Linked DNA regions of Macaca mulatta. The protein of the gene in region 1 purifies or fractionates together with the protein of each later gene. This does not show direct contact. Links are inferred from orthologs where the notes say so. Each region holds a gene or a part of one and is shown in the gene's direction. Other genes may lie near its edges.

Region 1 (3,631 bases):
CCTACTGGCAACGCCCAACTCTTTTTTTCCTTCTCTTCTCTCTCTTTTCCTAGGTCTGCAGCCACCCCGGCTCATACCTCTCTGCCTCCCAACTCTCAAGGAGGGTCTGCCGCATGTAATGAAAGTGTCTACTCTCAGGGAAAGCTCAGCCATGGCTTCCCCACTGCCCCGGGAGATGGAGGAGGAGCTGGTGCCTGCTGGCTCTGAGCCAGGTACCAATGGGTGCAGGGTGGAGCTGGGTGGCTGGGAGGGGGTGGGAAGGGCAGAGGCTGCCCCCTCTTTCTGTCTTGGGGGGTGGTTGAGTGATGATTCTGTTGAGATAGAGAAGGAGTACCAAGGCAGTGCAGGATGAGTGTGAAAGGTTCTCAGCTTCTCTTGAGACTCTTCAGAACTGTTTGGGATCATAACTTTCTAACAGGTGTAAGAGTAGACAGGGACCTTTGAGATGATACAGATCAAGCTGCATGCTTTGCAGAGGGGGAAACTGAGGCCCACAGGGACAAATGGAGTGTACAAGTGGGAGTTTGAACCCAGACCTCCTGGCTCCTTGCATAGACTCTTTTCTTATATTTAGCCAAATGTGTAGGAGGTAAAGGATTCCATCAGGAGGGTAGTGGATGAGGTTACTTCCAAGGTCATTTAGCTTTATATAGAAGGTAGGTTTCTGGTCCTGTTTTTTTTTCTCCCTGTAGCAGATTTACTTTTGTTTGACTTCGGTCAATAGTAAGTTTGCATTCCCAGTCACACACCAGATGACAGTGGGGAGGTGGCCTGGGAGTGTGCTATGACTGGGGGAGGAGGCAGCCTGGAGGCAGGATAGAGAAGCTCGGCTGAGATTGAGAGTTTACTATGGTTGATAGAGAAGAGTGTCACATAAGGTGAACAAACTAGATTGGGAATATGGGGACTGACTGCTTGATAGGGGCAGGCAGGCGTTTGTCTGTTGTCTCTTTTGTTCATTCATTCTTTTGTTTGATTATAACTTATAATTAAACTTATGTTAGCTGCAAAATACAGTACAGGAAGAAATAAGGTGCCAGGTGGGTCCTTACATAGCTTCAGCTTAAAAGGGGAATTGGCTAAAACATTTTGGGAGTTTGAAGAAGGAAGAAGATGCTTCTGGGATGTGTGTAGAAAATCAAGGAAGGCTTCACGGAAGAGGTGGCATATGACTTGTGTCTAGAAAGATGTGAATATTCTTAAATTGGAGGGTGGGAGATGAGGTGGAACAGGAACAAAGGAGTTCTGCTTCCTGGTTCTTCTGACAGCTCCCCTGCCAACCCTTTCCTTTTGGTAGGTGACACTCGGGCCAAACCCCCTGTCAAGCCCAAACCCCGGGCCCTGCCTGCCAAGCCAGCCCTGCCTGCCAAACCCAGCCTGCTGGTGCCTGTTGGGCCTCGGCCTCCCCGGGGTCCCCTGGCTGAGTTGCCTTCTGCCAGGAAGATGAACATGCTGGCAGGACCCCAACCCTATGGTGGCAGCAAGCGCCCGCTTCCCTTTGCACCAAGGCCTGTGGTTGAGGCCTCCACTGGAGGAGAAGCCATCCAAGAGACTGGGAAAGAGGAGGCTGGGAAAGAGGAGCCACCCCCGTTGACACCCCCAGCTCGATGTGCCGCCCCAGGGGGCGTACGGAAGGCCCCTGCCCCTTTCCGCCCAGCCTCAGAGCGCTTCGCGGCCACCACGGTGGAAGAGATCCTGGCCAAGATGGAGCAGCCTCGGAAGGAGGTCCCTGCCAGCCCTGACCGCCTGTGGGGTTCCCGCCTCACCTTTAACCACGATGGCAGCTCGCGGTATGGCCCCAGGACCTATGGCACGACCACTGCTCCCAGGGATGAGGATGGCAGCACCCTCTCCAAGGGACGGTCCCAGGAGGAGCCAGTAAAGCCTGCAGCCGAGTGCCAGGAAGAGCACAGCAGGACCCCTGAGGAGAGGTGAAGGGTGGGAGGTTGTATGTTTTGTGGCAGCCTGGAGGTCAGATGGGGTGGGATTGGGTGGGGGCTGGGGACCAAGTGCATGGCCCCGTATAGGGTTGTGACTTTTACCCGTAGATTGGTCGTGTGCCGTGAATACAGGCAGATCCCGATCTAAGTCACAAGTCATTCCCCAGCAGATGGTGTTATCATTACTGTATGCTTTTAAAGTTGTAGTTTTCGTTACAGAATTGATGTAGGTTTATGTTAGAGAGTTCAAGTGTATAGTACAGAAATTTAATAGACAATAGATTTTTTTTTTTTTTTTTTTTTTGAGATGGTGTTTTGCTCTTGTCGCCCAGGCAGGAATACAGTGGTGCAATCTCGGCTCACTGCAACCTCTGCCTCCCAGGTTCAAGTGATTCTCCTTCCTCAGCCTCCCAAGTAGCTGGGATTACAGGCGTGTGCCACCACACCAAGCTAATAGTTTTTTTGTATGTTTAGGAGAGATGGGGTTTTATCCTGTCGGCCAGGCTGGTCTTGAACTCCTGACCTCAGGTGATCCGCCTGCCTCGGCCTCCCAAAGTGCTGGGATTACAGGCGTGAGCCACCACGCCCGGCCAAGAAGTTTATTTTTAGTTTCCATATACTGAGAGCTGGCCTCATTGGCATCCTGTTTGTTCAAGGGAGTATTAGATCCATTGTAGAGATGAGGAAACTGAGGCTCAAAAATGACTTCCATAGTCTCGGCAAGTTAAGAGGCAGAGACGGACATCTTGTTTGATTCCAAAGCCTCTGCTCTTAACTGTTAGCTCTTACAGTGGGCAGAGCAGTGTGCCTGTCCTGGGGTGGGCTGCGTGTGTCAGGAGGAGCAGGGCACAGTCTCTCCCTGTGAGGCGGAATCTGATGGGAGAGATAAGACAAGAACACATCTTGATTCCAGGCCAGCTAGTGTCTGCATAGAGATTTTGGCTGGTTGGAGACATTTGCATATGATAACGCTTCTCCAGAGTTGCCACTAGTGGAAAGCAAGGCTGGCCAGGAGGTGCTTCTTGGGGTTGTGGGCACGGGACATTGGAGGAAGAGGCTGAGGCATCTCAGGAGCCATCAGCTGCACAGAGGCTGTCCTCAGTGCTGGGAGAGCCAGCTTGAGGCATGGCTGGCTCCTTGGGCCTTTGACCGCTCTGCTGGGCTCAGAGGCTCCCTTTCTCTTCCTACTGCTATGAGAAGCAAAGGCTGGTGTGGTCTGGGCCGAGCGGGAAACTGAGAGTCCGTGCCCTGCCCTGCCCTCTGGCCTTGCCCTTCTCTACCTTCAAGTGTCTGGAGCCTTGGCCCCAGAGCCAGTCCTTTGCCTGTCCCAGACCAGGGTGCTGTGAGGTCACACTCTTGCCCAGGCTGGGTTCCACCCGCCATCTTCCTTGCCTCCCTCACTCCAAGGAGGGCTTAAGAACAACTTCAGCCCTGGAAAATCACTCTTTCCTCTTCCCCTCCCCCACTGCAGTTCTTCAAGAAGTATTGGCAAGGCAGCGGGACCAGCTGCACTCTTCCTGGCTAGAGGAGAACTTTAACTCCTTATGGGTTAAGGGAAAGAAGAGTTATGTTTTTAGGAACCATTGAGAGGTCTGGGCATCCAGGATGCTTTTCCTAAAGGAGCTGGGGAATTTAACCCTTCACGCTCAGGTAGGGAATAAGCACTGTCTCCCGGGGCACTTGCCAAATGG
Region 2 (2,946 bases), on another chromosome or scaffold:
AGTTTTTGGTATCCTACAAATACTCCTTACAAGTTAAGCTTATCACCTTTTATCTGAGAAAATACAGAATCATAACTTCTGACACTTAATTATAATTAATCCCTATTAACCTTTCTCATAGGCAGCTAAATGACTAATTGAGAACATGAGTTAGACTGTAGTTGCTTTGAGTTGTACACCATAGTATTTTGAACACATATATTAACAAGTTTTACAGTAAGCCAGTTCTTGCTGAGAATTATTTATTCAAACATAAATTCAGGTCATGCCTCTAGGGCATATACGATCTGCAAGATGTATCTCACTAGAAGAAAGGCTGTCGGCTCTAGATATGAGATAGCATGAAGTAGAAAAGAGACATGAATGAGAGAGATTAGAAGGGACAGAACTAGGCCGGGTGCAGTGGCTCACTCACGCCTGTAATCCCAACACTTGGGAGGCCGAGGCGGGCGGATCACGAGGTCAGGAGATCGAGACCATCCTGGCTAACATGGTGAAAATAAATGTTATTTTCTCTGTCTCTACTAAAAATACACAAAATTAGCTGGGCGTGTTGGCACGCAGTTGTAGTTCCAGCTACTCAGGAGGCTAAGGCAGGAGAATTGCTTGAATCCTGGAGGCGGAGGGAGATCGTGCCACCACACTCCAGCCTGGACGACAGAGCGAGACTCTGTCTCAAAAAACAAAAAAGGGACAGAAATGAAGTCACAGCCAGGCGTGGAGTCCTAGCTACTCTGGAGGCTGAGGCAGGAGGATTGCTTAAGGCCAAGAGTTCAAGGCTATAGTGTGCAGTATTGCTCCTGTGAACAGTCACTGCACTCCAGCCTGGGCAACATAGTGAGACCCTGTCTCTTTTTTAAAAAATAAAAAATAAAAAAAGGCTGGGCACAGTAGCTCATGCCTGTAATCCCAGCTACTCTGGAAGCTGAGGCAGGAGAATCGCTTGAACCTCGGAGATGGAGGTTGCAGTGAGCCATAATCACCCCACTGCACTCCAGCCTGGGCCGCAGAACAAGACTCTGTCTCAAAGAAAACCCAGTGTTCAAAGGCATAACTCCTTGTTGACCATGGGAACTCTTACAAGGCTCCCCTTTTTTTTTAATAGCTGAAGAAGGGGTCTTAAGTGCCTGGCACCCAGCCAGACTTAGCCTCCTTAAAGATGTGATTAGGGTTAGTGCATTGCCCTAGACTGTTTCATTGTTTTTTGTTTTGAGATAGGGTCTCAGTTTGTCACCCAGGCTGGAATGTAGTGGCGTGATCTCAGCTCACTGCAGCCTTGACCTCCCAGGTTCAAGCAGCCCTCCTGCCTCAGCCCCCCACATAGCTGGGACTACAGACATACACCACCACGCCCAGCTAATTTTTGTATTTTTTCTAGAGACAGGGTTTCACCATGTTACCCAACCTGGTCTCAAACTCCTGAGCCCAGACGATCTGCCCACCTCGGCCTCCCAAAGTGCTAGGGTTACAGACGTGAACCAACCCTCCGAGCTGATTGTTTCTTTTATACAGCCCACCTATAACAAGTTCTCTATCTGGGCTGTACCTTAGAATCACTGGGAAACTTTTAAAAATTCCATTGCCTGGCCGGGCGCGGTGGCTCACGCCTGTAATCCCAGCACTTTGGGAGTTCAAGGCGGGCAGATCACGAGATCAGGAGATCGAGACCATCCTGGCTAACATGGTGAAACCCCGTTTCTACTAAAAATACAAAAAATTAGCTGGGCGTGGTGGCGGGCGCCTGTAGTCCCAGCTACTCGGGAGGCTGAGGCAGGAGAATGGCGTGAACCCGGGAGGCGGAGGCTGCAGTGAACCTAGATGGTGCCCCTACACTCCAGCCTGGGGACAGAGGGAGACTCCGTCTCAAAAAAAAAAAAAAAAAAAGTTCCATTGCCCGGGCCATGCCCTACATCACTTAAATTGGAATTTCTGGGGATAGGATGGAGGCTTTATGGGATTCCAGTGTACAGCCAAGGCTGCAGATGACGGCTCTTCTAGATCATCTTTTACCTCCCTAGCAGGATTCTCATGGCTTGCTTTGTGTGTGGTAGTATTGTTGCTTGCTTTTTTAACGGGAAGTGTTTTTATAGGTAATACTCAGCTGGCCTTACAGATCATCAAAAGGAATCAGCTGCTCCCTGCAGTGAAAACACACTCTGAAGTGAGAAAGAAGCCAGTGTTTCAGCCTGTCCACCCGATCCAGCCCATCCAAATGCCGGCTTTCACCACTGTGCAGAGAAAGTGATACTTCGCTTTTGGAAAACTGTTACCTGAGACCCAGGGGAGTATTTACTGGCCATTTTACTTGTATCACAGCAGAATGAATAAAAGATGGTGAAGGCTGTTAATTTTGAGACGGTTCTACCCCTGACTTTTTGCCAAAAGCTTACTTAAAATTAAGGATTTACTAGGTCATCATCAGCTGGTTTTCTTTTGTTTTTTTTTTGTTTTGTTTTGAGACGGAGTCTCACTCTGTTGCCCAGGCTGGTGTGCAGTGGCTGGATCTCAGCTCACTGCAAGCTCCGCCTCCCGGGTTTACGCCATTCTCCTGCCTCAGCCTCCCGCGTAGCTGGGACTACAGGCGCCCGCCACCTCGCCCAGCTAGTTTTTTTGTACTTTTTAGTAGAGACGGGGTTTCACCGTGTTCGCCAGGATGGTCTCGATCTCCTGACCTTGTGATCCACCCGTCTCGGCCTCCCAAAGTGCTGGGATTACAGGCTTGAGCCACCGCGCCCGGCCTGCTGTTTTTCTTAATTTCAGCCAGACTATTAATTTTGAGACATTATGTAATATATGCCATAGGCAATTAAAACATAATTTTATCAGAAGTCTTTTCTTGACTCTTAGATTATTTTAGCATCTGAGGTTTTGTGTTAATGTTTAAAAATTGACAAAGAAGAATATCAACAGTAGATAAATAGCCAATTCAGAAGCTGACCTGGGAGT
Region 3 (4,369 bases), on another chromosome or scaffold:
GAAACACAAAATTAAATCGCAGAATTTCTTAATAATAAAACAACATCGCTGAAACTATGTGGCACAGCTAAAGCAGTTATTAGAAGAAAAATAACAGAACTAAATAACTCTATCAGTAAAAAAAGCAAAGTTAAATGGATTACACCCATAAGTCAGAAAGCTTAAAAAAATCAAAATGTAAGACAAGAGGAAATCAGAAAGAAGATAAATGCAGAATTAATGTTTCATCATTTTAGGACTTGTTTTTACAAACTGCAGCTTAAGGCTCACCATTTGAGAACTAGGAGACCATTTCCTAATATGTAACAATAGCGACAACACAGCTAGGTAGCTGTCAGGGGCTGGGAGCCTTTTCTACACAAACTTTGCTCTGAATTTCAAAATACTAGCCTGCCTTGACACTTAGTGGAAATTCAGGGAGGGTGGCCTTAACTCAGGTTCTTCAGGGAAGTGTCCCGTTTCAGGGACACCGTGGGGTGGGGTTAGGGGACGGCTGTATTCCGCACATCTAGTTCTGGCTGGGCTTATGGCAAGTCTCAGTCCTCTGGAGTCACCTGAGTGACTGAGGGATGAGAGGCATTTCTGATCCCGTAATATACTTACATGGTTTTGCCATCTACCGGACTCCAGTTCAAATCTCAGCTGGCACAGTTACCTTTCACGTGGCCTTGAGCAAATCTCTCTGAGCTGAACTTTCCTCACCATAAATCTGGTAAAAATCTTTACCTTAAGGAAGTGTGGATCAAATGAGATACCAGGTGGAGCTAGTGCTCATAGAGTGGAAGCTAAGGTGATGAAACCCTTGATTCTCAAGTTCTGTGATTCCATGATGGAGATCCATGAGGGCTACCAGATGGGGAGTATCAACTAAAAGAAAGCAATCACGGAGTTCTTCCTGCCTTCTCTGGAGGATGTATTCCTATGAGCTGCCCTGAATGTTAAAAATAATACACCTGCCCCCAAAGTGCCTAGGACGCCTTTGTTGTCCACCTGCTCATCGTCCATCGGTTTCTGCAAGTGGACCAGTTACCTGCTCAGGAGCAAACGTTTCTATCACGATGCACCCTCTCCCAGGGATGGGCTCAGCCTGTGCTCTCCCTGCGACAATGTTGAACAGTGCCATCTGTCCCTACCCAGCGTCAGTCTCACTCAGAGGGCACAGGCTTGGAGTGTGGGAGGCACGCTCCCAGCTCACTTTGCTTTTCCCGCCCTGGAGGGGAATCCAGGATGTCTAACTAGTCTTCTGGCCCCGAGAGGGAGAGGTAGGGATAGGACCTTCCTTTAGTCCCCTCCCTAGTGGAACGAACGATTCTTTACGGTCATCTGTGGGGTTCTTTTCGTAAAGAAGCATCTGCAGGGTAAGAAGGAAAAAAATCCACCGTGCAAATACATCCCAGGCACATGCCTCCTGAGAAGTGGCCCCCTCCTCCCTCCGCCGTCCCCGGCACCTCCTCGGGCTTCGCCAGCTTCCTGCTCCTGGGAGCAGGCAGAGATCCCGGCGTGGGCAGACCCCTGCCACTGGCGTCCAGGCCCCGTCCGAAACTCACGCCCACGTCGGAGGAGACTCTCGGGATAACCAAGGTGCTCCCAAGACCCGGAGGGCAAGAAGAAAGAGCCCTGGCAAACAAAGGGCATGGGCCGGGAGCGCCGCAGCCCGGGGCGGGGGCACGGCGACCGCTAGGCCAGGGGGCGCCCGCCCCCAGCGCCCCACGCCCGGTGCCAGCGAGCCGAGGCGTGCATCTCCTTATATGGTCAAATGACACGGAGGGGGTTCTCGAGGGCGGGAGCCGCGCAGCGCTCCACTCGGCCGGCAGCGGAGCAGCAGCCACCAGCCGCCCGCGCCCGCCCGCGCCGTCCGGGAGTCCCCGGGCCGCTGCGGCGCCGTGAGTACCTCCAGCTCCCTGCGCCCCGGAGGGAGGCCGAGGGGCTTAGCCACCAGGACTCGGAAGAGGGGGCCGAATCCGGTGCGAGACCCGGGGAGAGGGGAGCAGATCCGGAGTTGGGGAGACCGGTGAGTGGAGAGGAGAGCTGTGGGTCGGAGAAGAACCCTGGGAGAGGGGAGCCGAACCGTGCGGAGAGAAGCCGGGAGAAAGGAAATGAGCTGTAGGGTAGACCCGGGAGAGGGGAGCAGATCCCTGGGGGCTGGGAGTGGGGAGACCACGGGAAGAGGGGAGCGGAGCAATGAGAGGGGGCTAGACCCTGGGGGCGCTGGAGCTCAGAGGAGCCCACGGACCCATCCCCAGAGGGGGGATTACAGCCCAAGTCCTCACCAGGTGGGGCACCGCCATGCGGGCAGGGGCTTGGCTAGCCTGGGTAAAGGCTGGCCGCGGGTCCCAGCCGGCGGCTGCGGGGAGGTGACGCTGTCCCCTTGCTTCAAGGCCCGACTCCGGAGCCGGTTGTCCTGGCACGGTGGTCTGCGCGGGGGTGTCCGGGCTATTTCCCTTCAGTAGAAATAAGTGGAGCTTGCAGTGTGACCTCACTCCTTGACTCGTGTAGACATTTAATAACTGAACCATTCGGTTAAAAAAAAAAGGCGTATTTTAAATGAAAAAGATTCTAAGTTTTTCTTAAGTTGCACTCGTGTGATATCTTAGCATACTAGAAATTGAGGGAAGAAAATACTGTTTTTCAGATTTTAAATGAATCAATCATATTTACTTTCATATCCCCAGTCAGGTTTTAATTGGAAGTAGGCTAACCCCGTTAGCTGAAATGTGTAGCTGGCCTCCAAGCAGCAGTGAACTTAGACAGCACTGAACTTAAGGCCCGCACTCCCTTCCACATATTTTGGAAGGTAATAAATCACAATTTGGGCTTAGAATCAGGAGAACTGTCTTCAAAACACAACTCCAAATACATCTCACATTTTTGGTGCTGACTCTACTAACGAATGTTTTATAATAATATATTAAAGAAAAGAGGTTTTGCACTATCCTGAAGATGTTTTAGACCAAAAAAAAAAAAAAAAAAATTTGCAGCAAGTCTTAGAAGTACAGGAATTCCTAGTCTATCAATTTAATTTTAATAAAATCAAACTCAAAGAACATTTCATTGTGCATTTATATAAAATTTTTTCAAGTGTTACTGGATTTAGATCACCCTCCAATTTAGAAGATCATCAATTGATACATAGAATTGTGTTTTCATGGTGTTTATTAGCCTGCCATGGTTTAAAATGCGTTTACACCATCATATGTCGATGAAGGCTAATGATGGGCTTACTAAAGACCAGAAACTGTTCTGGGCACATAGATTCTGTCTCATTTTAGCTCACGGTCTCACAAATAACCACAGGCAGATGCGGTAGGCTAGAGGATGCGGGGGACTGCATCTAGGCTGCCTGAATTTACATCCGGGTCCCTCAACCTGTGCAGCCTGGGCCAAATCACTTCATGTCGTGGTGTCTCGGTTTCCTTCACTGGGAAACAGTGACAATGATGTTGTCTCTTTGGCAGGGTTGTTAAAAAGTCTGGACATCATAGACAGTGTGTACCTATTTGACAGCCTCATTTTTACAGGTAAAGACACTGAAAACAGAGATCAAAGTAACTTTAACTCAGGGTTTCCCAGGCTGTAAATGGTAGCCCTGAGATCTGACCCCAGGCAGCTTAACTTGAGAACCTGAGTTCTAACCCTAAACACACCACGGGAGGAACATTTGAATATTTATTTATTTTTTAACATTTGAATATTTCTATGAGGCCTTATGCTGCATTCTTTGACCCAAGATTGCGTGTTAAGCCACTTCCAGTACTGAAAGATATTTAAATTGCAGTCAAAAACACCCAGTAGAATATTGCACACACACACACACAAATCAGACTAGATATCAGTTTACTCCCGTCCTGTGCTGAGGGCCAGTTATTCAGCCTCTGTGACTCAGGCAGCTTCCTTTGTCAGCACCGGGGCCTGAGTTGGTAAAGTTGGTAAGCGGCTCTCTGACTCAGATGCCCCGAGGTAAAAAGTTCCTTGAGCCTGGGTGAATGGAAATGTCAGACGTTGGGTTCTTCTGTGCGGTTTTATTATGAGAATTTGATCAAAGCCACATTTATTAAGTGTCCATCTCAGGTTGCGTCATACTGAAGTCGCTTCCTCAAGATGACCATCTGAAACAAAATGCATGTGCTTTCTCTAGGGGCTGAGAACTGTGTCTTCCTGGAGACTAGGCTGGCATTTTGACTTTGGGGTGAGTCAAATGAATTTCCTCTGTCATCCTAAATTGTGGATTTCAGTTTTAGCTCCCGTGATGATTACTTTCATGTGTCAACTTGACTGGGCCATGTGGTGCCCAAACATTCGGTCATATGTTCTGGGTGTGTCTGCGAGGGTGTTTTTGGATAGGATTGCATATGAATGGGTAGACCGAGTC
Region 4 (4,403 bases), on another chromosome or scaffold:
TAAAAAACTACATTTTGGATATTGTCACGCGCGTCCGTGAAGAGACCACCAAACAAGCTGTGTGAGCAATAAAAGTAGTGGAAAATTACAGTCAAAGCGGGTTGTTCTCTGGCCAGCAGGGGTGGGGGCCATAAGGTGCTCAGTGGGGGAGCTTCTGAGCCAGGAGAAGGGATTTCACAAGGTAATGTCATCAGTTAAGGCAGGAACCGGCCATTTTCACTTCTTTTGTGATTCTTCAGTTACTTCAGGCCATCTGGATGTATATGTGAAGGGTTGGGCTCAAAGGCCTGACAGGTACAGTGTACACTGCTCTGGTGACGGGTGCACGAAAATCTCGGAAATCACTACTCAAAACTTATCCATGTAACCAAAAACCACCTGTACCCCCAAAACTACTGAAATACAAGTTTTAAAAAGATGAAAAAAAAAATAAAATTTCTCCCCAAAAACACATAAAATAAAAATACGTTTTAAAAAAGAATTGAGATGGCGCTTAACTAGATAATTAAGAATCGCTGGTGGTAATCACTGGTGAAATACATGCACGTTTCTGTAGGTTTAGGGACGGGCAAGTCTGGGAAATGCCACCTGGTGGTTCTCAGCCCAGACTACACCTCAGCCTCACCTGAAGAGGCGGGGTTTATTAATACCTGACTCATCTCTGGGGGTGGGACCAGGTATTTGCAACGCCTCCCCGTGGGTTTCTAATGCACCGCTAAGTGCCCAGGATAAGCACCCTAGGGCAGTCTAAGGAAAACGTGGCACAGCAAACAATTTTGTACATGAATATTAACTGGAGACATGTTCTTGAAATCGTGTTAAGAGGGAAAAAACCATGTACAAAAAAGCTCATAGCGCAGTACGATTCCATTTCTGCAATAAAAGAGTGTAAGACTAGAAATTAACCGTGGTTACGAGAAATGCGTGGCATCTTTTTCATTTACTATATTAAAAAAAATGTTTGAGACAGAGCGCCCAGACTGGAGTGCAGTGGTGATGACAGCTCACTGCAGCCTGGGACTCCCAGGCTCCAGCGACCCTCTCGCCTAGGACACTCAAAGCGCTGGGACTACAGGCACGCGCCACCGCGCCCCGCCGGCCTTTACAATATTTTTACGACGAATACTTATGGATGTTATGTTAAGAAAATAGTTAACATCCGAGGTGCGTTTTTGCAAGTAATAACGTAGATAGCATTTACTGGGACCGTCTGGCACCAGGCACTGTCCTAGGGACCGCCAAGGTGCGGCTTTCGCTTGCAGTTGCGCCGACGCACGCGGGCCCCGGGCGCTCCTGCCGGGGAACCTCAGCCGACCTAGCCCTGAAGGCCGCCAGCCCGACCTCTCACCGCGCCTCCCTTCCCGGGCCCCGCCCCCGCTTCCTGCCAATTCGCCCCGCCTACCCCGCGTCTCCGCATCCTCTTCCTGGCTTCGCTCCATCAGCCTCGCTTTCGCTGGGCGCTGTCCCTTTCCGCGGCGGTCTGGTTTCCCCGACGTGTTTTGTTTGCGACGCTGTCGTGTAACAGCGCGCTTTACGGCCGCGGGGACGGAGCGAGCCGGCGCCAGGGCCCCTCGGGCCGGGAAGAGGGGAAGGGGAGCGAGGTTGATGCCCGGCGGAGGGGCGAGCGCGGCGTCTTGCCGGCTTCTCACCGCCGCGGAGCAAAGAGTGTCCCGGGAAGCGGCAGGGTCGGCGTCCAGGAGCGGCTTCGGGGGCTCCGGCGGCGGCAGAGGCGGAGCAAGCGGCCCCGGGTCCGGGAGCGGAGGCCCTGGGGGCCCCGCAGGCAGGATGAGCTTGACCCCGAAGGAACTCTCGAGCCTGCTCAGCATCATATCGGAGGAGGCGGGCGGCGGCAGCACCTTCGAGGGCCTGTCCACCGCCTTCCATCACTACTTCAGCAAGGCCGACCACTTCCGCCTGGGTTCGGTGCTCGTCATGCTGCTCCAGCAGCCGGACCTGCTGCCCAGCGCGGCGCAGCGTCTCACGGCGCTCTACCTGCTCTGGGAGATGTACCGCACCGAGCCGCTGGCCGCAAACCCCTTCGCCGCCAGCTTCGCGCACCTGCTCAACCCCGCGCCGCCCGCCCGCGGCGGTCAGGAGCCCGACCGCCCTCCGCTCTCAGGTACCTGCTGAAGCCAGCTGTGCCGTGTGGAATGCGTTAGATTCCGCAGCTTTCCACCCGCGCTGCTGGGAGCTCACCTGAAAGGGAAATTAACTATCCGTGTGAACTGATAATCCTCTTTTTCCGCCTCCCTTTGCGTTCCCACGCCCCTCACTCCCTCCCCGCCTTAACTCTAAAGAATGGAGAGGTGGTAGCTTAATTGCAAGTTCGTGACACCGAAAATAATTTCTCTATACACCCCATCACATCATAGAGCTCAGTGTAGGTCTTGACATGTTTAGTGTCTCAAATACGGTTCGTTCTTCGAAAGCCCGTCTGTGGTGTGTGAAGTTAAAACCAACGATAAGACTAGATCTGTCCCCGGTTTTTAGTCTCAAAGGAGTACGTAGAAGTCAGTACTAAGAAGCTGAAGAAGTTGTGGGCGGAAATACACGTGAAACACCATTAAAGACTTTGCAGCCGCCTGCCTTAGCCTGTTAGGGATGGGGGCAGAGGATAGAAAGTCTCAAATTGATGATCTCGCGATTGGAAACGCATGACTTACTGGACATTATGTAAAGTGCATTCATGGTATAAATTATGTAAAATATATTTACCATTGTGTGGCATTGGTGAGATCAAACTAGTAGGTTGGATGCGAGGCTACATTTTTTTGTTTTTAAGCTCAAACAGGGGATGCTTTATGTGGATTTGCTTTGGGAGAAGACTTGCAGTCAGAAAACAAAAATGGCGTGGTGACAAGGGACCTGAAGGATTTAGGGACCAGTGTAGTGGAGGAAGCACATAGCTAGAGATAGGTAACAGCTTGATCTTACATTCCTTAACCAGCACAGGTAGGGCCTGCTATACAGTGAGTCAAGGCTAAGGCAGCAGATTTTGAGGTGACACCAGGAGTTTGTTTTTATGGTACAGGAGGGCCGCATTTCTAGTTAGCGTTCCTGCCTGGCACCCCGTCAGGATCTCTGATTGGTGTCCTGTAGTGCCCTTATCTAAGAAGGGCAACCTTTTGTATTGGCTGAGATGCCGTTAGGGTACAGGTACTTAACCTGCTTTTAAGAAGCTTGTGACTGCCCAGAAAGTGAATGTAACACAGGTTTGTGGTCAAAACCCACCACCTAGGCCTGGCGAGGTGGCTCACGCCTATAATATCAGCGCTTCTGGAGGCCGAAGTGGTGGAGGTTGGGGGTTGGGAATTGCTTGAGGCCAGGAGTTTGAAACCATGCTGGGCAACATAGTAAGACCCTGTCTACAAAAAATAAAAAATAAAAATTGTTGGGCATGGGTGGCTCACACCTGTAGTCCCAGCTGCTCAGGAGTTTGAGGCAGAAGGATCACTTCAGCCTAGGAGTTTGAGGCTGCAGTGAGTTAGGGTGACAGCGAGACCCTGCTTCTAAACACACACACACACACACACAAAGAGACAACCACCACCCTGGGGTGCTGGTATTAGAGGATTGGGACACTATGGGATTTAGGTCAGAGGGCCCTTTGAATTCTGAAGAACAAGTGAGGCAAGGGAACTGTGACTTATTAATGTCATTCTCATATACAGTGAATCTAAACCCACACCTAGTCCGTAGACTGCATTGTACACACAGATTTGCCATGGGTGGGATGGCAGTTGCCAGAGAAAGAATCCATGGATGGATTATATTTAACCGTTTTGTGCCTCAGATTCCTCATCTGTAAAATGCAAATAGTAACAATTGCCAGCTGGTAGAGTTGTTACAAAGAATAAAAGTACCTGTGAGTGTTACCCACTATTATTACCATTATTAAAGTAGGTAGGGATGGTGTGTAGGTAACATAGAAAAATATCAGTGCCAACACCCCACTCCCAGAGCTGCTGCTGTTTTCTGTTTAGGGTAAGACATTTAGTGGGTATGTCTTCAGAATGCTTTTCAGATGACTCTGAACTGAGGCAGGACTGCGATTGTGTAATGCTGGGTAGTACAGAGGAAGGAAGGACCACCCATGGAGCCAGAGAGATTCTCGGAAGGAGTGATACTTTTGCTGGATATTGATTAGGGATGCAGGTGCGAGGGCAGGAGTGACTCTGCCAGGTATTACTAAAGAACTGGGTGTAAAGCCGTGTGCGGTGGCTCATGCCTGCAATCCTAGCACTTCGGGAGGCCGAGGCAGGCAGATCACTTGAGGCCAGGAGTTCAAAACCAGCCTGGCCAACATGATGAAACCCCATCTCTACCAAAAATACAAAAATCAGCCCAGCATGATGGTGCACTCCTGTAATCCCAGCTACTGAGGAGTCTGAGGCAGGAGAATT
Region 5 (4,246 bases), on another chromosome or scaffold:
TAACAGAAATACTTCTATCTTGTTCTGAGGTTGCTGCTCAGAGCTTGAGTGAAATATAATCACATGCTAAGGGGATCTGGGCCCTAAACACTTTATCCCGTCTACAACTAAAGAATAGTACAGTATATGAGAATCCATCAGGATCATCACTTCTTACATGTGTTAGTATTTTCAGCACAGACTACATAGCAAGTGTTCTACAGATGTCGAAAGAACTAGCAAACCGACAGTTGTTTGTGGCGCTCTCTCACTTCCTGTACTACATTACTCAAGATAAGCCTAAAAGAACAGACAAAAATATCACGACAACTATTTCTTAACAGAACTATTTTAAAACAAGAGAATCGTCAATTAAAATCATGCCATTTTCTTTCTCTGAAATCTTTAAATTACAGATGTGCTCATCTTTGTTGCCTGGATATGAGTTCTCTCAGCTGGGCGGCGAGACACTCAAAGCAGTGACTTTATGGGATCCTACCAGAGGCGGGGGAGCCAATATAAATTACGTATCCTAATCTGAGAATGCACCCTTCTGTCCTAATACCTGAAGCTTATAGCTTGTCAGGTGGCTTTTCCACGGAAAAACGAGGACATAAGAGAAAGGACGGACCTTAAGAGTTCTAGGGAGGAGCCGGTAGAGGCAGCAGGCTTGACAATCAACTGCAAGGTTGCAGTCCAAAAGAAAAAGAACCCACTTGATCGCTCATCATCGACTCCTCAGAGGCCCTCTAGGACTACCGAGAATCTCTTGCCCTTTGGCTCTTGCCCCCGACATCTCTCCTGGCCCCCCGCCCTGCCCCAGGAGGTCTGGTCCTCTCACCCGCTGCCAAATTCTCACACAGCCTCAAAGGGATCCTCAGAGCGTAAAGCAGCCCCAGCCCCGCCACTAACCACACCGAGACCCCAGTCCCCGCCAGCCCGGCTCGCAGTCGCTCCCTCCAGCCCAACGTCGGGTTTAGGCCGGGGACAGGTGCAGGAGACGCTCTAGCAGCCGCGGCTTCACCCGAGCCGCCACCGTCCGCCATCTTGCCGCTATCGCAGGAGCCAGGAGCTGGGAGGGGAGAAGGACAGGAAACCGGGAGTCGGGAATCCTGGGATAGTGGCGGACCTGAAGTTGGCCTCTCTGAAGGCTGAGTCCTGGGGAACCGGGACCGAGAAGATTTCGAAGGTGGAGGAGCGTGTCTCAAGATTGAGGATACCTATTCCTTTGTGGGGCAGGGAAGGGGCGGACAGCAGCGCCTGTTCTGGAGGAACTGGACTAAGATGTGACCCCAAAGTGAAGTATTACCGCTTCCAAACGAAATGAGGGTCACCTTTCACACCCCCGCCCCCCGGGGTTGGAAAAGCCACCGATCGTTCCAGCGGCCGAGCAGCTCTTAGAGCTTTGGATTCGGCTGTCGTGGAGATAACGGGTACCAGAAAAACTGCAAGAGCGACTTGGTCGGATGGAGGCCAGGAGCCAAGAATAATCGAAACACGCTGCCAGCACCCATTAGATGGATGGGAAATGAGTGTAACTCATTGGGAAAGATATTAGACTTTAAATCACCGAAGGCAAAGCCTACTTCCTGGGGCGCGGGCGCGGGCGCTGGCACTAGTAGACGTCACTCCCGCGCATAACTGACATGGCGCCCTCTTGGTCGGCGTTTCCGGGCGGGTCCTTCCGACGGCCCCCGCGGTGATTCCATCACTCGGCTTTCTTCCCGGCCTGCCTAGCGCCCACACCCGGGCTGGGCCAGAACAGCCCAAGATGGCCGACTTCGATGATCGTGTGTCGGATGAGGAGAAGGTAAGGGGTCCGCCTCTCTCTCTTACCTCCTCCCCCGACAGGGAACTGGGGCTCGGCCCGGCTGCGTTGGGAGCCTCGCAGTGTCCCCAGGAAAAAGAAGCTTCTTTGTCAATGCTGACATACGCTCTCCGCAGTCGGGACGCTTCCCTCTTACGGGGCTTTCCTCTGCCTCACGGTGGCCCCAGTTCCTCGTTCCTCGACTCTCCTTTTCTCTCAGGCCTGAGGCACAGCCCAGGGGCCTCCCTGCGAGGGAACAGACGTTTCCTTTATTAGATCGTGACTGTGGACTTTTTTCCTGTAATTTTGAGAGTGGGTGGTGGTTATGTTGCTACATATCAAAAAGCAGTTATTTTACCGCCTTTAGCAGTTGGTGCTAACCCCCATCCCCCCATTTGTAGATATAATTGGGGTTAGTTTAGGGCGAGTCACTTCCTGGTCAGGATGGCCTCTTCCTTTTTGCTCCTCCTTCCTCAGGAAGTGATTTTGCTGTCACGACTCCTCGACAAGGAGAGGTCCCAAATGTTGTCCACCTCACTACACATGCAGTACTTTTCTCAAGTACTGTCGCCTGTCTGATTCGCTATAATAAATCTGTGAGCCTCAGGGCATGTGCTTCACAATTTGAGCACTAGACTTTCCCTGTAGACACACCCTTTTAACGATAATTTTTGAAAATTTTGTTTCTTGTTAACAAATGTAGAATAGCTGATGGATTTTCTTAACCTCAAGAAAGATTTTCTGTAACAGATAATAAACTGCATGTTAACACGTTCAAGACTTGACAAAGCGTCCTGCCTTCTCTGGTGCTCCACTGTGGAGTCTTTGATTAGCTGAATTTGTCAGTGTGCAGTTTGTATACTTATTTCTTGAAAAGCGTTTTAAATACAAGAGCACATTCTAAGGTGGAATAACTTTTCTTCTGACATTTGCACAGTTTCATAACAGTTTTGTCAGGCTTTTCAGTAAGTACATGATTTTAGGGCACGTGGAACTTAGAATGACCTCACGAGACAACTTACTTACAAGAATTATGACATTTGTCTCCTGCTGTGGCTATTGGAAAATGTGTCCCCTTGAGTGCTCTGTAAATCTACCAGGGTGTTTTTTTAAATAAGAAGTTGGGATGGGGAGGGGACTGTTATGATCCATAAGTCCTCTGCACCGAATAACTTGATACATCATACCTACATATGGCATGCCATTTTGAAATGCTTAACAAGCCATTGAACAACAGCATTAGATTTTCTCTTATTTGGAAACTGATCTTCATACATAAGATTTAGGACAAAAACAAAGACATATATGAGCTTATGCTGGAAATCAATCTATAATAAATTGTTCTAAGGCAAATAGTTACTATTCAAATAAAATTAAGCAAAAATCCTGTTATAATACAAATCCTGTTACAACTAAACAAATTTTTTTTTTTTTTTTTTTGAAACGGAGTCTCGCTGGGCTCACTGCAACTTCCGCCTCCCGAGTTCAAATGATTCTCCTGCCTCAGCTTCCCAAGTAGCTGGGATTACAGGCACCCGCCAACACGTCAAGCTAATTTTTGTATTTCTTGTAGAGACTGAATTTCGTCTTGTTGCCCAGGCAGGTCTCAAACTCTTGGGCTCAAGTCCATCCGCCTCCGCCACTTAAGTGCTGGGTTTACAGGCGTAAGCCACCGCGCCCGGTCAAAATTCCACAAATAATTTAAATAATAAACTTTTAAGTTTATTGTGCCTACGTGATACACATTGACCAGTGTTGTTGGATTTTTGTCTTCGATACCAGGTTAGAATGCCTTTAATTAAACTTGGGAAAGTATATTTTTTAAAATGCCAATTAAGATGTCTTTAAATACTGGCAGTGTTTTAATAACATTAACGTGTTGGGTTTTTTTTGTTTTGTTTTGTTTTGAGTTGGAGTTTCGCTCTGTCACCCCGGGTGATGTGCAGTGGTGCGATCGCTGCAACCTCTGCCTCTCTGGTTCCAGCGATTCTCCTGCCTCAGCCTCTCGAGTAGCTAGGATTACAGGCGCCTGTCACCACGCCTGGCTAATTTTTTTGTATTGTTAGTAGAGACAGGGTTTCACTATGTTGGCCAGGCTGGTCTCCAACTCCTGACCTCGTGATCTGCCCGCCTTGGCTTCCCAAAGTGCTGGGATAACAGGCGTGAGCCACTGCGCCCGGCCAGTCTTGGTTTTTTTAATAGCAGATCTGTGACCAGTTTCGTCTTCTAGCATAGTTTTTTTGTTGCCAAATATATTTCAATATTGCTTTTTATCTTGGTTACATTTTCTAAAGGCAGTAAACCTTTAGAAAATTTGGTGATAATGAATGGACTCTAATTTCCTTATAAATATGTATGTAAAAGCTAGTAAAATCATCTATTCTCATAACTGCTGAAGTTTTTTTAATCACTTTGTAAAAAGGAAGTTGGGTTTTGTTACCTGAAATGGTCATGATGAGC
Region 6 (4,280 bases), on another chromosome or scaffold:
CTCTTATAGTAAGAATTCTTACTACACAAGCCTTTAACAAATGCTAGGTCATTAAATACCTAGAGTACCCTCTAAGGTAGGTATTAAAACAATTTTAACAAATTTATAATAGATTTGGCACAAATAATAGGACAATTAAAGGCTTGTTCTTCAACATGGCTTAAAGTGAATTCATCCTAAACAAATAGTGTTCAGTGAGTCAAAGTAAGTAGTATCAAATATTGAAAGTAATAGTATCAATGTATTTTCTCCTAACACTCCTAACCCACACGTTTATTATAAAAATGTTTGTTGTTCTATCTCTTCCAGTAAAATACTCAAGGTAATAAAACTCTCAAATCAGACTTACACCCTCTGGAAGTCATTCTAAAGAGGTATAACCAATCTTTTAACACACCATCTTATGGTTGAAGATGTTAACATGAGAGGAGGAGAAAGCAGAAAGAGGAAGGGACTATTTGGAGAAGACGGGGAGAAAAGAAGGAAAGACACCAATGTGTTGTTCCTCCTCGAATTTTCCTGAAGTGGAAAAAAAAAAAAAAATGAAGTAGAATGTTTGATGAAATGAATAACCAAGTAAAACATTTTCTGTCTACACCAGTACCACTAGGAGTTGAAATAAATTCACACAATGTCTGCTATGTCAAAACACCTTACCTTCAAAAACATGACAGTTACCTTTTATTTTATAGTATGTTGTGTTTCTTGCTATTTCTTATTTTTGACCTTCAATGACAAATTTAAATTGGATTACAGTGATTCTTTTGTAAGGAAAAGGTAAATTTTTAAAAGAAACAACCAAGTGAAGTAGAAATTTTATTTACTTCAAATTAACTAATTACTCAAATAGAAAAGGACAATTTTTCACATTATGAAGCTACACAATTCCAAAACACACATGCAGAGGCTCTTAAGAACGAAATGTCTAGTAATTACAAAAAAAGTGAAGAGTTTACAGACATACAAAGAAATAAAGGGGAATTATTGCAAAGAAAAGTTTAATTTCACTTTGAACGACAACGATTTTTCTGGAAAGCAGATACTTCACTCCTTTAAGTTTCCACCCAAGCCACAATAATTTCAAATGGTCTTGCGGATGACCCAGCTGGTCACTCTTGTTTATGTGGAGACTGGGGGGAATGAGAGTCAGAAAAAGTGCTATAAACCTAATTTGGCTAGAGCAAGTTCACACGACACGACCGTGCTTTAAAAACTTGCTCTCCATTATGTACTTCCTTCCACCAGGTTGGGGGGGGGAAAAAAAAAGGTGAGGATGGTGAGTAAATACACCAGTGGTTTCATCAGAGGGGAACTCACTACTCAGAAGGTGACGGTGACGTGGTGCCGGTCCCTGAAGTACGCGCACAAGCTCCGGAGGTTGCGGGAGCTAAGGGAGGAAACGGGGACACGGTTAAATTCGCCCAGGTGGCGGGAGTGAGGAGGGGAGGAGTGAGGAGGCGGACGTGCGGGGGCGGGGTGTCCAACACAAACACAAACACGAACACGCTCAGCATCCCCGGGGAGGGCGGACTGAAGCCACCTCACCATTCATCGCCCCTGGACCCTGCGGTCCCCCTCGGACTTGGGGCCAGAGCCCTCTGCGAAGCAACCTGGCCCCAGGAAAACGGCAGCGGCCGCAGAAGCCCCGCTCTCTGTAACGGCCGCGGAGGAGCAGCAAGCCTCCCTGTGAGTCGATGGGAGACAAGACGGAGCAGCGGTAAGGGCGGTAGGGGAGTGAAGCGCCTCTCCCCACCTTGTTAGAAGCGCGCTGGAAGCGGCCTACCCACCCCATCGCTGCTGCTTTGCAGTCGCCGCTCCCACCTTCCGCCGCCACCCGGAGGGAAGCCGGAGCGACGGGGGTCACGGCGGCGGTCAGAGGGTAAAGGTCTTGCTCCCAGCAGCCTCCGCGGTGGATACGTCGCCATCTTGGATCCGCGGGACAAGAAAATTCATGCGGTGAGTTTTTGGCAAATTTTCGGAAGTCTGGCAGCGGGGCGCGCGGCGGGGGCGGCGGATTCGGGGCCCCCGCAAGGCGGGGGAATGCCCCGGGGCCGGTCCGGCCGCGCCCGGGGTCCGCCGGTAGCGTCCCGGCCCGCCGCTTCCCGTTGCTTTTGTCTCGGCTCCAATCGAGAGAGGGAGAGCGGAGCGGGCGGGGAGGGGGGGTGGCGGCGGTGGAGGGAGGGAGGGGGTGTGTATGGGGGTGGTGGTGGACGGGACGTAAAGCGTCGCTGTACTCGGGCCGCTGCAGCAGCAGCTCCAGATCCTAGGCCCGGTCCCATCCGCGAGTGGCGGGGCTTCCCCAGACTCCACTCCCCTAGGCTCCCGCCAGCGCGGAGGAGCCGCTACCGCCGCGCTGCTTCCTGGGGGAGAAGAGAAGGCGGCTGCGGCCGTGGCTGAGGAGCTCGAGCCCGCTTTAGACGGCTCTGCCGCCTTCCCAGCAGCTGGTGCTGTCTCTGGCTCCTTACATTCTCAATACACGTATATCATCTGCCAGTTATGTGTATTTCTGTTAGTGTGTGTGTAAGTGTCAGATGGGAGACACTGGACTGGCTAACGGGTGTCAGGAGCCTGCAGGCCCTGGGATACCGAAGGCTGTGCATGGTGGAGGGAGAAGGAATGCAACTGCGATGCTGCCTCTGCCACCGCACCAGGAAGGTGAAGCTTCCGTAGTGTCGTAGACTGAGTCCGGATGGTCCTGGGGCGGCGGAGGAACCACAGATGCTTCTGTCTGTGAAGTTACAAGCCCTGGTTTTCTACTTCCGCAGGGGCCTCTCCACCTTTTGCTGTTGTAGGTCTCACTTAAAAGTTTCACAGAAGAAAAGAGTAGGGTTAAAAGAGGCCTTTGTAGTTCTTAATTGAGGCACTGTTGTCTGTCCGGGAGAAAGCTGATGACTCTTGGTGACTGTGGTCCTTAGCAAAAGTGAATTGTAGTTTTCTTTTATACAAAGTATTTCCAAGGTTTTAGACTTTATATTTATTCCAGGCCTGTAGGTACGGTATTACCACCACTAAAGTCTTACATAAGGGTACCACCCTCTCAGAAGGAACCTAAACAACTTCCTTCGAATCCTTGGAGACATCTTCACTTTTCAACATCCGGAAGACTGAGTGCAACATATTTTGTTTCATTTTCATAAAACTCTTGGTCAGAGAATCCCACTCCTTTTAAAATCGTTTGGGCAGTTCTTCGTAATTAAGTACACTGATTTGAACCCTTAGATTCTTGGCGAAATGGTAAAAAGTACTCAAAGTCAGTTCACGAGGGAAGCCAACTTAAATTTAAGGTTCCAAAGTTGAACATACTTCATGCTTGATATTAGGAATTTTTAGAGCTCGGAATCATAAGTGTGACTCTTGATTTCCCTTTTGAAGCAAGATAAGTGGAAAGAATAAAGTATGGGGTGAGGGATGAGATAGAAATTTTAAAGTATCCATTTACATACAAGGTTTATGTTGAGTTTGGGAATGCTTGGCATAATTGACAACAGTTCTTTCCAAACGTCAATGAATATGTCTCTTATAATTTTGTAAGATTGCGAATTGAAAGGGTTAAGAATCATAGTGGGCTGAAATGGTTAAGTGTCTATATTCAGAGCCCAGTTCATTGAAATGTTTTATAATGGACCAAGATAATTAGTAAGCTCTGTATGTTGAATTTGTTTAGTTTGTAGTTCTTTTATAATGTTAAATCTAAAGAAAAAGAAATACAAAATACACTTAAAGACAAAACATGTTCCACTCTACTCACTTATTTCTTGACTTTGTAAGATCCTTATTGTAGAAAAGGTATCTTTCTCTCATATTTTCTGAGAGCTTGAATTGTAATAACTTTTGTGAATACTTTGTATTTTAGAGAGGAAGTGAGAAACTCTGCTAAAGTTTTTTTTTTTTGTATCTGAATTAGTACTTCATCAATACAAATAAGTTAATGTAAACATTTGTTGGCAGGAATCTTTTTTTAAGTATACAATGTAGAGATATCTGTAACCTAATCTGATCTCAGGGAATGAGAATTGCCTGTTTGTTTAACCAAGCAACACATACAGCCTATACAATTTTTCAGTTTCTATAATACTTTAATTTATATGGTGGAAAAGGAGGGCAAAATGCTTGTGTGTGAGTGATTTATATCCCCAAGTACCTGATCTTGAAGATAAAACTCAGAATGTGGCTTATCTTCTGATGCTGGGCAAAAAACAAAAACAAAAAAATTCAGAATGATACAACTTCCCATATACCTCCCTACAAGGACTAATTACCTTTGTTTTTCCTTTATAACT
Region 7 (3,631 bases), on another chromosome or scaffold:
AAAAAAAAAAATTCACAAAAAAGAAAATTCTCAGAATGTTTTAAGAGACTTTACGAATTTGTATTGGGCTGCGTTCACAGCCGCGCTGGGCACCCACTGGCTGCAGGTTGGACAGGCTTGATTTACGCTGATGTTAGGAGATGTTTACGGAGAAGGATACAGTGAAAAACATTAGGTAGAAGAAGTCATTTGGAAGATAAACCAGTAGTGCCTAATATAGAGAGAGCACCATGAAGAGATTCTTGGAAATTTTGAAGAAAGAGAAAATTGGCTTCTTAATGGGGTGGCTAGAATGCGTGTCAGTTACAGTGCTAAGACACTAGGGATTTAGTACTGAGGAAAGTTGGTCATGGCCTTTATAACTCAGTGTTTTGTAACTCTTCTGTTTTCTCTCTATTGCCAAAGTCTAAGAATTAGAATTATTAATACTGATCAGTGTATGGGAATTCTCTCCAAACTGAATTTGGAGTTGATATATCTATGAAAATTGAAGTGGAATACTGATGAGCTGTGAAGAAGAAAAGCAACCCATGGAAATAATGTCACTGATGAGTCAAAGAGGGTTAAAAATAAATTTTTAAAAAATCACTTTGAGGCTGGGCACGGTGGCTCACGCCTGTAATCTCAGCACTTTGGGAGGCCGAGGCGGGCGGATCACGAGGTCAGGAGATTGAGACCATCCTGGCTAACACGGTGAAACCCTGTCTCTACTAAAAATACAAAAAAAAATTAGCTGGGCGTGGTGGTGGGCGCCTGAAGTCCCAGCTACTTGGGAGACTGAGGCAGGAGAATGGCATGAACCCGGGAGGCGGAGCTTACAGTGAGCCGAGATCATGCCATTGACTCCAGCCTGGGCGATAGAGTGAGACTCCGTCTCTAAATAAATAAAAAGTAATCACTTTTGGTGATTGCAGTATTTCTTGATATTTGAGAGAATTATTTAATAGGATAGTAGAAATTACAGGGCATCTTGGGTTCAGTGGTAACAGAAAGGATGCTGATGCTTCATTTAAGGAAAGTGGCAGTGTAAAGAAGGAGATGGAGAGTGCCATAAGAAGGGAGGCTGGATGCAGTAGCCCATTCCTGTAATCCCAGCACTTTGGGAGGCCAGTTGGAAGCCAAGGCGGACAGGTCACTTGAGCTCAGAAGTTCAAAACCAGCTTGGGCAACATGGCAAACCCTTGTCTCTACAAAAATAGAAAAATTAGCCAGGCATGGTGACGCATATCTGTAATCCCAGCTACTTGGGAGGCTGCAGAAGGAGGATTGCTTGAGTCTGGGAGGTCAAGGCTGCAGTGAGCCGTGTTCAAGCCACTGCTTCCAGGATGATGGCCAGACCCTGTCTCAAGAATGGAAAGCAGAATCAACAGAATAGTGGTTTTTATTTTGTTTTACAGATAATACACAGACACAGTTGAGTGTTCACGAGTTAAGGAGTTGTATGTTAGGATAAAGATAGGCACTTTAGAAGTCCTTTGAGGAATGGCATGGAATAGCATCTAAGGCATTGGTAGCAGTTAGCTTCGGCGATGAGGCAAGCTGTCTTTGGAGTCTAAAGGAGAACAATCTTCACATAGGTAGATGTAAAGAAAGACAGGAATATTGGTCTGATATTTCTTTGTAAAGCAAGTGTGGGGTGAAGCCATATGCTGCAAGGAAACCGGTGAAGGGTGTTACTAGAAACTTGGAGAAAAAGGGCTAAACCACTTGCATACCTATACCTTGGCAAGTGGCCAAGAATAATGTGAGCCTGGAGAAGAATCTGTTTTTTATTGGTTGCTTATAGTTGCTAAGGCATGCCTCAGTGTGAGCATTGGGACCTGATGAGTGAGATTCTAATTTTTTGAGGTACATATTTTTAGCATAGGAAAGCTATGGTGTCACTAGAAAAAAACCAAAAACCAAAAAACTACTTCATTGGGTTTATTCTGTTACTCTTCCTAAAGGATATTCCAGGGGAGACTGACTTTTAAGTGATGTGGTTTCCTTCTGTTTTAAAGTATTTCCATTGTTAGCTTTGTAATTTTTCAGACCTAGAAATAAGTTGATTTCCAAAGGACTAACCATAAGGATACTTTTTGGCCCAAGTGAAATATACCCTATGGTTTAGTTTTGTCAAAAGTGTTTAATAGGAATTCCTTTTGCCAAGAGGTAGAATCCGGTATTCTTACAATTTGAAAAGTAAGTAAAAAAATACTTTTTCCCATATTCTCAAAAATATATCTGTATTTTGGTAGCTTTTTTGTTTTAATATTTCAGATACAGATATACTGTATTTTGGGAACTTTTGATTTAATATTTCAGATACACATATATTTGAGGTTGGAAATATATTTGTGGTTGGAGATGGCTTTCTTTTTGGCTTAAGTGAAGTCTTGAAGAATTGGTTTATATTTAGATTGCCTGGCTTGATTTTATAAGGCAGTCATTTAGGAATTGGATTGTTGGCAGAAGAAATTATTGCTGTTACAGCACAGTCCTTAACTTTAAACAGTGTTACTTATTGGAGCCATTTGCAAGGCTCATCATTTGTGAAAGGAGGCATCTCCTTCTTTAAGATGAAGTGTAGTTTAACTCGTCCACATGAGACGTTTTCTACCGGGTCTCCTTCCTGGTGCTGCTGAGAGCATGGGAGATGGGCATGTGCCCCGCAGCTATGGCTGCAGCTCCATGTGGCAGCCTTACAGTGGCTGCTGAGACTGAGAGTCTCTGAGAAAACTTGTCTGTTACTTTGTGATGGTAGCCCCTGGTGAGTAGAAGACCCTTTTCCAAACCCAGTTAAATGTATTTAAGTATGAAAGGCTAATAGAGTTAATAGTAAAGATTAAAATTGCACCTTTGGACTCTTTGAATGATTTTTTATTATTTGAAACACTTTTCTGAAATAATGACCCTTGTATTTAAATTGCATTTTTCTTGCATATATGTAAAGCATTGGAACAGCTGGACTCAAGCCAGTCCTCTGTCTCTTTTCCGGCACTGTAGTTATAGATGTAAGCAGAAGAACAGCTTGTTTGAAGTAATGGCATGTTTGAATGTTGTCTTTCTCTTTCTTCTGCCAGGGAGGATATGTATGCCCAGGACTCTATAGAGCTACTAACAACATCTGGTATCCAGTTTAAAAAACATGAGGAGGAAGGAATTGAGACCCAGTACTTTGCAGAACTTCTTATGACTTCTGGAGTGGTCCTCTGTGAAGGGGTCAAATGGTTGTCATTTCATAGGTAAAACGACTACATTGAAAATGCCTTTTGTTTTTCCATCTCATACTTGCTCCACACTTACCTGGGGCACTGTGTTAGTAATTTCAGGTTTAATTCTAGAAAGAGTTGACTGCCATATAGAGTTGTCTCCTGACTCTGAGGAGGCTAGTGTTGGTCTACTTAAAGGTTAATTTAAACTATGGGATCCATTTTTGCCTGTGAGAAGCATGTTGCATAGTGGAAACAGTACGGGTTCTCTACAAAGTGAAAGACCCCGGTTTAAATCCAGCAGTGCCTTTGGAATTGGTGTTACCCAGAGTTTTCTTTTACTGTTTCTACACCTTAGTTTTTAATGTTCTACAGGGGAAACCATTTATTTACATTTACAAAAATTTATTGAGTATTTACCATATGGCAGGCACTGAGAT

The links.
Region 2: the proteins of TNKS1BP1 (region 1) and CNOT10 purify together in Homo sapiens (affinity purification with mass spectrometry; 4 studies listed by BioGRID and IntAct, with this or other methods). This does not show direct contact. The link is inferred for Macaca mulatta from reciprocal best matches to the Homo sapiens genes TNKS1BP1 and CNOT10.
Region 3: the proteins of TNKS1BP1 (region 1) and FHL2 purify together in Homo sapiens (affinity purification with mass spectrometry; 3 studies listed by BioGRID and IntAct, with this or other methods). This does not show direct contact. The link is inferred for Macaca mulatta from reciprocal best matches to the Homo sapiens genes TNKS1BP1 and FHL2.
Region 4: the proteins of TNKS1BP1 (region 1) and CNOT11 purify together in Homo sapiens (affinity purification with mass spectrometry; 5 studies listed by BioGRID and IntAct, counting the BioPlex papers as one, with this or other methods). This does not show direct contact. The link is inferred for Macaca mulatta from reciprocal best matches to the Homo sapiens genes TNKS1BP1 and CNOT11.
Region 5: the proteins of TNKS1BP1 (region 1) and CAPZA1 purify together in Homo sapiens (affinity purification with mass spectrometry; 3 studies listed by BioGRID and IntAct, with this or other methods). This does not show direct contact. The link is inferred for Macaca mulatta from reciprocal best matches to the Homo sapiens genes TNKS1BP1 and CAPZA1.
Region 6: the proteins of TNKS1BP1 (region 1) and CNOT2 purify together in Homo sapiens (affinity purification with mass spectrometry; 5 studies listed by BioGRID and IntAct, with this or other methods). This does not show direct contact. The link is inferred for Macaca mulatta from reciprocal best matches to the Homo sapiens genes TNKS1BP1 and CNOT2.
Region 7: the proteins of TNKS1BP1 (region 1) and CNOT7 purify together in Homo sapiens (affinity purification with mass spectrometry; 4 studies listed by BioGRID and IntAct, counting the BioPlex papers as one, with this or other methods). This does not show direct contact. The link is inferred for Macaca mulatta from reciprocal best matches to the Homo sapiens genes TNKS1BP1 and CNOT7.

The regions. Positions count from the first base shown.
Region 1 is NC_133419.1:16,085,654-16,089,284, forward strand, and holds part of TNKS1BP1 (182 kDa tankyrase-1-binding protein), read left to right. Parts: intron 1-53; 5' UTR 54-118; coding exon 119-212; intron 213-1,297; coding exon 1,298-1,931; intron 1,932-3,631.
Region 2 is NC_133407.1:15,750,176-15,753,121, reverse strand, and holds the end of CNOT10 (CCR4-NOT transcription complex subunit 10), read left to right. Parts: intron 1-2,090; coding exon 2,091-2,245; 3' UTR 2,246-2,348; downstream 2,349-2,946. UniProt on the Homo sapiens protein: Component of the CCR4-NOT complex which is one of the major cellular mRNA deadenylases and is linked to various cellular processes including bulk mRNA degradation, miRNA-mediated repression, translational repression during translational initiation and general transcription regulation.
Region 3 is NC_133418.1:13,500,654-13,505,022, reverse strand, and holds the start of FHL2 (four and a half LIM domains protein 2), read left to right. Parts: upstream 1-1,459; 5' UTR 1,460-1,756; coding exon 1,757-2,011; intron 2,012-4,135; coding exon 4,136-4,186; intron 4,187-4,369. UniProt on the Homo sapiens protein: May function as a molecular transmitter linking various signaling pathways to transcriptional regulation. Negatively regulates the transcriptional repressor E4F1 and may function in cell growth.
Region 4 is NC_133418.1:9,406,687-9,411,089, forward strand, and holds the start of CNOT11 (CCR4-NOT transcription complex subunit 11), read left to right. Parts: upstream 1-1,526; 5' UTR 1,527-1,605; coding exon 1,606-2,119; intron 2,120-4,403. UniProt on the Homo sapiens protein: Component of the CCR4-NOT complex which is one of the major cellular mRNA deadenylases and is linked to various cellular processes including bulk mRNA degradation, miRNA-mediated repression, translational repression during translational initiation and general transcription regulation.
Region 5 is NC_133406.1:127,634,820-127,639,065, reverse strand, and holds the start of CAPZA1 (F-actin-capping protein subunit alpha-1), read left to right. Parts: upstream 1-1,355; 5' UTR 1,356-1,565; coding exon of another isoform or gene 1,566-1,566; 5' UTR 1,567-1,750; coding exon 1,751-1,789; intron 1,790-1,815; exon of another isoform or gene 1,816-2,180; intron 2,181-4,246. Other genes in the region: ST7L (suppressor of tumorigenicity 7 protein-like), read right to left, coding at 821-1,025. UniProt on the Homo sapiens protein: F-actin-capping proteins bind in a Ca(2+)-independent manner to the fast growing ends of actin filaments (barbed end) thereby blocking the exchange of subunits at these ends.
Region 6 is NC_133416.1:77,323,115-77,327,394, forward strand, and holds the start of CNOT2 (CCR4-NOT transcription complex subunit 2), read left to right. Parts: upstream 1-1,473; 5' UTR 1,474-1,545; coding exon of another isoform or gene 1,546-1,925; 5' UTR 1,926-1,956; intron 1,957-4,280. Other genes in the region: uncharacterized protein LOC144332960, read right to left, coding at 1,317-1,387, 1,546-1,684, 1,788-1,925. UniProt on the Homo sapiens protein: Component of the CCR4-NOT complex which is one of the major cellular mRNA deadenylases and is linked to various cellular processes including bulk mRNA degradation, miRNA-mediated repression, translational repression during translational initiation and general transcription regulation.
Region 7 is NC_133413.1:18,829,357-18,832,987, reverse strand, and holds part of CNOT7 (CCR4-NOT transcription complex subunit 7), read left to right. Parts: intron 1-3,062; coding exon 3,063-3,224; intron 3,225-3,631. UniProt on the Homo sapiens protein: Has 3'-5' poly(A) exoribonuclease activity for synthetic poly(A) RNA substrate. Its function seems to be partially redundant with that of CNOT8.